2 linked regions of the Lepisosteus oculatus genome follow. The main gene of each other region encodes a partner of the protein of the gene in region 2 in a complex. Links are inferred from orthologs where the notes say so. Each region holds a gene or a part of one and is shown on either strand. Other genes may lie near its edges.

Region 1 (3,752 bases), about 30 Mb from region 2:
AAAGAATTGTTGCACATCCCGCTGATCGCTGCGAACCCCGTGTTTATGACACCTGAGATGTTTACTGTCACAGGAGACGGTTGGAGGAAAAAACAAATGCATCGCTACAAATGAAAGGGCACAGAGCTCGCCCGTCAAAAGACTTTCCATATGGGTCTCGGACTTACAAAAGACCTTTCTGGTGCCTAATTAAAACATTCTCTTTCAATACTAACAACAATAAAAAAAAACACGTTCGACGCGGAGTCTCTCTTTCTATAAACTGTAGTCTCATACTTGCAGCGGTTAAGCGCTGCTGAAGTTTTCCGAGGTAATTCTTTGAACCTATAATAATCAGTGATGAAACCCAAGTCCAAATCGCTCCCGCTGAAAATCGTGATCTGTTTAACCGCGGTTTGGAATAAAATACAGGCATCCTATTATTATAAATCATTTCCTTTTAAAATATTGTAATGAGTAGAAACGGAAACGAAATGTTTCGAGGAACGTGCAGATGTTGAAACTACAGATGAAAAGTGTTTTAAAAATATTTTGTGTAAGTAAAGTGACGGAACTCTTGCGATTAATCTTTTCTGTGATCGGACATAATAAATACCCCAGATTATCAAATAGCATACCGCGCTGATAGGTTAGACTTTGTGTGCGCAAACTCTCAAAACCAAAAAAGCTTATCAATAATCATTTTATTCACAAATTGGTTAGTTATGATACTTCCACGACTCCCCCCCGTAATGGAGCAGATGTAATGAACTTGACCATTATTTCCTTCATATTTGCACCGTGAGACCACTGTTTCAGAAGTCGCTTTACCTTAGCCTAGGGACATAATCCTTTTAAACAGCAGAGTCCAGTTGGTGGAACGCCCCACGTGGTTAGTCTCCTGTATAAAAAGTTTCAGTGTAAAGTGCCACAATGTCGTGATTGCAAGGGGGGGAAAACACGAACTGAAGATTGTATCTTCTTGCCAACGCGCTGAGATACACATCAGGACCCATTTGCAGATCGGAAATTAAAAATCACTTCTTTTTTTTTTCAAACAAAGGCGGCAAAGATCAGAGGTAGAAGTGGATGGAGATGGAAAAACTGGATTCGGCAGACAGCAGCGAAAAGGGAGATATGATTTAAATGAATTGGTCATTTCTTTCCTCTTCTACAGTGGAATTTCCTATGTGTAACTGTAGTTGTGGTTTTTTTTTTGCGTCTTCTGCGCAGTGAGTGCTTTGTCACGCTGCTTGAGAAATCTTTGTTTTTCCTTTTAAAATGTGTAGCTTCTAGTCATTTATTTTTTCCTGTTGCTCAAACCATGGCATGACACGTCAGGCATTCTCTGCTATAAAGGGTGCTGATTTGAAGACCTTCGGTCAAAATATACACACATATATGTATAGTGTACATGTGTATCGGTGGAAGTTTCACTTTGGGGCTGGTACGTTAAATTGTTCATTCAGTCAGGCAAAAACGGAGAACAGAGGACAAACACGTTGTATTAGTTTCCACCTGAATTTCGCATTCAAAATGACCAAAGAGTTGCAACCTTAGGGAGTTTACTAAGTGAATGTTCGGAACTATTAGCACATTGGGCACGTTCGTCAGCGCTCTGTGGACTAAGTGGATCTGATTACTATGTTCAACTGAATAACTTCATCATAGCTATTCTGAAAAAGTTATTTCGGATATGTTTTAGCGTAGTGTATCAGAACCTAACCTGAGAAGACGAACGTGTTGCTGCGTTTTGTGTTCACGTATTAGATTCTAGTGTCCTCGGGAATACCTTTTTTGTTTAAAAAAAATGAGAAGATACATCATCAAAGTGGCCTGTTTCGTGGCTTGCGTTTTTACAATCACATGCACACCGACCCCGGGGACTGAGACTCAGACTGCGTCCCAGGATACGTGCGCGTCTTGCGGTCTCGGGCAGCCGGAGGACGCGGGGCGGATGGACATAGATTTCGTGGAAGCTGTTAAGAGGCATATACTGAACAGGTTACAGATGAGGGAGAGACCCAACATCACCCACCCCATCCCGAAGGCGGCGATGGTCACAGCCTTACGGAAGCTTCACGCAGGAAAAGTGCGAGAAGACGGAAGAGTGGAAATACCGAACTTGGACGGCCACGCCACCTCCAGCAACGAGGTGCAGGAGCAAACTTCGGAGATCATCAGTTTCGCCGAATCAGGTGTGTAAAAACTATATTGCTATTACTGCTGCTAATACACTGCGGATACCGCTGTTTCGTCCCGCCTGTGCAGCGTAATTTCTCCACTAGTAGACTAAATTAAAATCGGCCCAGCAGTCCATCGAAAGAGTTCAGCGACTGGCTGCTCACTGTCCTGTCGCCTGACTGTCCCTGCAATTAGAAAGACAACCGAGAATAAACAGTTAAAAACAGAAGAGCCTCAACGTATATAGAAATATATAGGTACTAACTTTCAAGCACGTGTTTTCTTTCTAAACATTTCCAAATGATTGGTTCTGCAATCTTAAAGCAGCCTAAACAAAGAATTTGTCATAAAAACGCGTTGCTATAGGCTACCCTGAGCTCAGGTTTCAGACAGATAAAGCAATCTGAACAAGAACTACAAAGAACTATTATGTAAATTCCGAAGCACCGCTTGACTGTGAAACCTTTCCGTACAATAAGGTCCCTTTAATGAATGTCATCTTCGTCTGTGCCCCAGTGCTTAAGTCACGTAGATAACTGCTCTGAGAGGAGAAGGCAACACACAACACGACAGATAAACGAGGAACAGGGGCTTAACCTGACCATGTAGTCTAAACCACTACGTACATGAGCAAAGCAATAAAGTCTAAGTCGGAATAAATACGAATAATTGAGTGATGCTACGCAAAAACCTGTAGTTATTGTAAAAGGAACCGCGTTTCTATATGTGATAGGATTTAGAGTAGCCTAAATTAATGAATATGCGAGTGTCCAATGTGCGACCTCGACTCAGAGTACCTCGAATGACCTCGCACGGGAGAGAAGATGCTCTGAATCGCAATTGTGGAATGGAGCTGTGCTGCAACTTCAGTTCACCGTGTTGCTAGAAAAGCTCCCTTTAAAGCACGAGAGAGAGAGAGAAAATAAAACAACTGGTCGTTTATTTCACTCCCAAGAATGCTTACGCAGTTAATGCTAAATATTCTAAGGATTTCTTTCCCATCCAGAAATAGTATCCATCGCTATTTAGCGCCGATGGCTAACAAAGGGTTTGAATGGAACGCGTTAAACGGGTCTCAAGTTTATTTCTTGCAGAAAGCGAAAGAGATACGCGTCTTAACTTAACTTGAACTACAACCCCTTTCGGTGCGGAGTTAAAATCTGGTTCATTGTTTCCAAAATATAAGCTTTTTAAAAGTCTGTGTTGCTGTCGTGGAGCGGATGATTTAAGATGCTCACCGATCGCTAAATATATTTTTAAAGGTATCCACTGGCGCTTTGGACCTTAGTACAGTATTGTGTTGCGGTACTGGCTCTAGTCCTCGTGTCCCGGACTGTTTCCTGAGTTCTGGCCAAATGGGTAGAAGCCCAAGCGGGGTCGCTGCCAGCCGGGCATGGCCGAGCGACAAACTGAAAGTAACAGTTCGCTAGGAGGCTTCGTCAGGCGAACTTGAAATGGACAGTTTTTCCACCTCGGCACTCAACACTGTGCGATGCTCTTTCAGCACTTTCTGAAGGGGATCTCATCGCATGCTGTCTCCTTTTCCCCGTTAAGCCTGCTACTGTATGGATAGAGCGGCTCGTCTTTCA
Region 2 (3,752 bases):
GAACAGGGACAGGGAATAAAACCAGGGTAACGAGGCCAGGCGCGCCGAGCCCCAGACCCAGACGGTCAGGACGCTGTGGTGAAGCCTATGCCTTCGGGTCTCTCCTGGACCTGTTGGTAGGTGAGATCCCAGGCGTCCATCTCCCAGCGCTGAGCCAGGAATGGCGAGAGCACCAGGCTTAAATAATGAGAGACAAAACAGGTGCATATAATCAACCAAAATACGAAAAGGATCGGGGAGCCCTTGGAGTTAACTTTTTGTCCATTTGACATTCAAAGCAGAAATCTGCATCTCAGACACCTTGTGGGTTGCCTATGAAATATCTGGGGTTTCACTAATATGGGCCATTGCAGGCCTTAATTCACAGCTTTCACCATAAAAGAGTTTTCTTCTGATACAAGTTTTGAAAACCCTCAAAGGCACAGACAAAGTCCACTCAGAGCCTTTCTCCGGAAAGGAAAAATGAAACACAAACCAGACGGCGCAAGTGGAAACGATGTGAAAGTGCATTTAAAACCGAGAACACGTTTCACTTCTTCACCCACAGGGCTGTAGGGAGTGTGAAACAAGCTTCCCAGCCATATCTGCATGAATTTCTTGTATCATTTAACTATTACCTACCAAAATGCGCCAGATGTGCCTAAAGGCCTACTCCTGTTTGGAACATTTCTGATTTTCTTCTGAATATACAAGTCAAGAAGCCTGGACTTTTTAAATAAATTCAACTGCTCGAAAACATATAGCCTTGTTTTTTTTTAAATGAGAATAACCACTCACGGAATGTTTGTCTCCACATAAGAGATTTTAAAAATCAGGTTTTTATTTAACGTGCCAGACTGTTGAACGTTTTTACAAGTCGGGTGGCGTTTTGGATAACCTTCAGACGACGGCCGGGAGCACAGAGGTGGTTTGAGAAAACGTGCGCCTAAAGGCGGGCGAGCCCCACGCCAGCGCCACTCTTTCCGCGACCGGCTGTGCACCGCTAGCGGGAGCTCTACTCCTTTCCCACACTGCGCGGAAGTGAGACGGCTCGGCTTTAGCGTGTTTAGTGCTGCAAGCGCCGCAGACAATCCCGGGATGAGGCGTATCCCAGTCACAGACGCTCTGTCTCGCTGTCTGCTGCTCCATGGTCACTAGCGCTGACAGCCAGCCAGCCAGCCCTCCCTCCTTCTGAAACTGCAGACAAACCGAAACGGAGGCAGTCTGCTCCCCGTAACCAAAACAGTGCAGAACTAAGTGTTGGGGAGGACGTGCCTGTGTACATTTTTTTATTTGTGGTGTTGGGGTGGGAGGGGGGGGGAGGTTGTAATTTTTTTTTAACAAAAACTGGGCTTTGCGCAAGGATATTTTCCGATGGAGATTTATTGGAATGCATAGCCTTGTCTAAAGGTGGAGATCTGAAAGTGTTGGAGGAAGAAAAAAAAAAGGGGGGGGCCTCTCTTAATATCCTGAGCAAGGGGGGGATCCGCGAATCTCGGCTGGGATCGCTCCTGAAAACAAACACCGTGCCCTGCGTAGGAACAGCAAAACGGGAGGGGAAATAAAATGCTTACAGTTTGTCCTGTTGGCAGCGAAGTTAGCAGGCGCTTTTCACAAAGGGGCTTCATTTAAAGGGAAAAGAAAAAACGGAATTTGTGCACCGCGGACTTTAAAAGTCGGAGCTGCTTGGTGGGTTCTTGGAGGGGGGAAAAAAGGCCTTTTTTTGGAGGATTGCAGGCAATTTCTCGCCAAGGACTTATTTTTTTGATTTTTTTTCACAAGAAAAATGGAATCCTCGGATTTTCATATTAAGTTGGAGACGCGCTCGCCTGCACGTTAATTGTTTTTGCTGAAGGACATTTGCAATTCGGGAAGCTTTAGGGTAGCTAACGTTAGCTACCTAACCTTCGTATATCTGCAGAAACCCAATCAAAGGGAATAGAATAACCGTTCAGACCGATTCTGGTTGTCTTAAGGTTTTTATTTTGCAGCCGGGAGTGGAAATTAAAAGAACCGAGCCTCCCTATTTTTAAAACCGGAATCGCCCAGTTCATTTCACGAATGATGTAACTGGCGAGGGCTTTTTATAAAGAGGGGGAAAAAAAATCTAGCACGTTAAATGATTGAGATAAGTAGCTGGCTGTTCCAAGAAAATGTTAATTTTAACGCCGGCCAGCACGAAGACGAACTGAAAACAAAAACGACGAGGCACCGGTGGACAATGATGGGATTCTTCATTTGAATCGGGATTACAGTCAACGAATGTATCTGGATTGGTCATTTCTAGGAAGAGGAAAAAATTATAAAACTTTTTGGAGGTGTTTATTATCGCGGATACCGGGTTTGGTGCTCAGCATGGCCGCCTTCCACCGCCTGTCTATCCTGGTGTTGGGAGTCTACGCAGTCCTGCTCAGTACGGTAGCTGGTAAGTGCCTACATAACTGCGGGCTGAAATCAGACTTAATGGCCCTGTAAAAAAAATGATTTGGGCTTCCAATAAATAAACACTGTTCTCTTTCAGTTAAACGAAACGACACCGAAAATAACCCAGGCAGCGAATCTCAATATTTAACTTTTTTTTTTATACGGCCGAATATGTTTTCGACCGTGGTTGAACCGCCTTGTTGTAGCTTTTAACAGACAGGAAAGGTTACATTCACCCAAGAAAAATAAAACTGTTATTTAAGTAACTTCATGGGCACCTTGGTAGTCCTCCAGGTAACCAGTGTCTTCAGCAAGGTCCGGCAGCATTTTATTTTCATGAGTTGGACCACGGGTGGAATCGCTGAAAATCTTTCCAAGAACAAATGAGAAAACGCTTTGCAATCGAGTATAGCGATTATATAATTGTTACCAAGGGATAGAACAATTGAAAATACGGCAGGCGAATAATGTTACAACTCGAGATGCATATATGGCGTGTAATGTCTTAGGTGTAGCCTAAGTAATGTGCAGTATTGCATGTCTCGGTCTCTCATTTGTTACTCCATTAACAGTAACGTTCAAATGTGCATGTCACTATTTGAGTAGTCCAGGTTTTCAGATGTGACAACAGCGGTTTCAGTTATTTGGGTGACTTGAACTGAATGCTTTGATAACGTACAATTGCATCTGTAAGTACGGTAGTTAAGATCCTGGTGTCTGCTGTGTGCTTTCTGTGAAGGGTAGTGCACAGACCTCAACATCGTTTTATCTCGTTCATTCACTTGACATGGACGTGAGATGCACCTTTTTATGACAGAACAAGGGCTCTTTTTATGTCCTGCCTTCTTGCCATCTTGCCATTAGATCCAGTGTAGATTGAAATATAAAAATCTGGATTAAAAATAATTCCTATTTATAAAATACTTCCCCCTTTCCTCCTTCTAAAAGTGTCACATCACCAGAGTACAGAAAATGTCATTGGTCATTGCAGACAGTCCCGAATGAGTAATATGTTAATTTCTGCTTTGAGGTGTTTTTTAATTGATCTTTTTTGACGTACTTCCTTTCAGTTTAGAGGGAAAAAACCCAATCAGTAAAACCTGAGCAAGTGTTCTGCTTTCATTTGTCAACCATGTTGCTCTGATGCCTGGTTATCCTGAAAGGCATTTGAACTATAAGGCTTCAGTGATGTCTCCTCTGATAAGGCAGTCTTTTTAGATTCTTTTTTTTTAGTTTGTGTTCCATTTTGAAGTGGGAGAACATGCTTCTGAGAGACTCCCCAGTTGTCCATAGGTTGAGTCTTGTAGGGTTGGTAGTCTTTCAGTCCCTGAACGCGTTTTTGGGATCAT

What was found. Proteins that work in one complex are often made in the same cells at the same time.
Region 1: the proteins of bmpr2b (region 2) and inhbb are in contact, whole or in part, in a crystal structure (PDB 7U5O), measured with the Homo sapiens proteins. The link is inferred for Lepisosteus oculatus from reciprocal best matches to the Homo sapiens genes BMPR2 and INHBB. Residues at the interface, in NP_001195.2 of Homo sapiens: Tyr40, Tyr67, Leu69, Val80, Lys81, Trp85, Ser86, His87, Ile88, Gly89, Asp90, Gln92, Ile108, Gln109, Tyr113, Phe115; in NP_002184.2 of Homo sapiens: Phe309, Asn318, Asp319, Ile322, Ala323, Pro324, Gly326, Tyr327, Tyr328, Thr379, Met380, Ser381, Met382, Leu383, Phe385, Asp386, Asn390, Ile391, Val392, Lys393, Asp395, Ile400.

What each region holds. Positions count from the first base shown.
Region 1 is NC_090707.1:3,923,915-3,927,666, forward strand, and holds the start of inhbb (inhibin beta B chain), read left to right. Parts: upstream 1-879; 5' UTR 880-1,789; coding exon 1,790-2,177; intron 2,178-3,752. UniProt on the Homo sapiens protein: Inhibins and activins inhibit and activate, respectively, the secretion of follitropin by the pituitary gland.
Region 2 is NC_090707.1:34,056,079-34,059,830, forward strand, and holds the start of bmpr2b (bone morphogenetic protein receptor type-2), read left to right. Parts: upstream 1-1,058; 5' UTR 1,059-2,241; coding exon 2,242-2,404; intron 2,405-3,752. UniProt on the Homo sapiens protein: On ligand binding, forms a receptor complex consisting of two type II and two type I transmembrane serine/threonine kinases.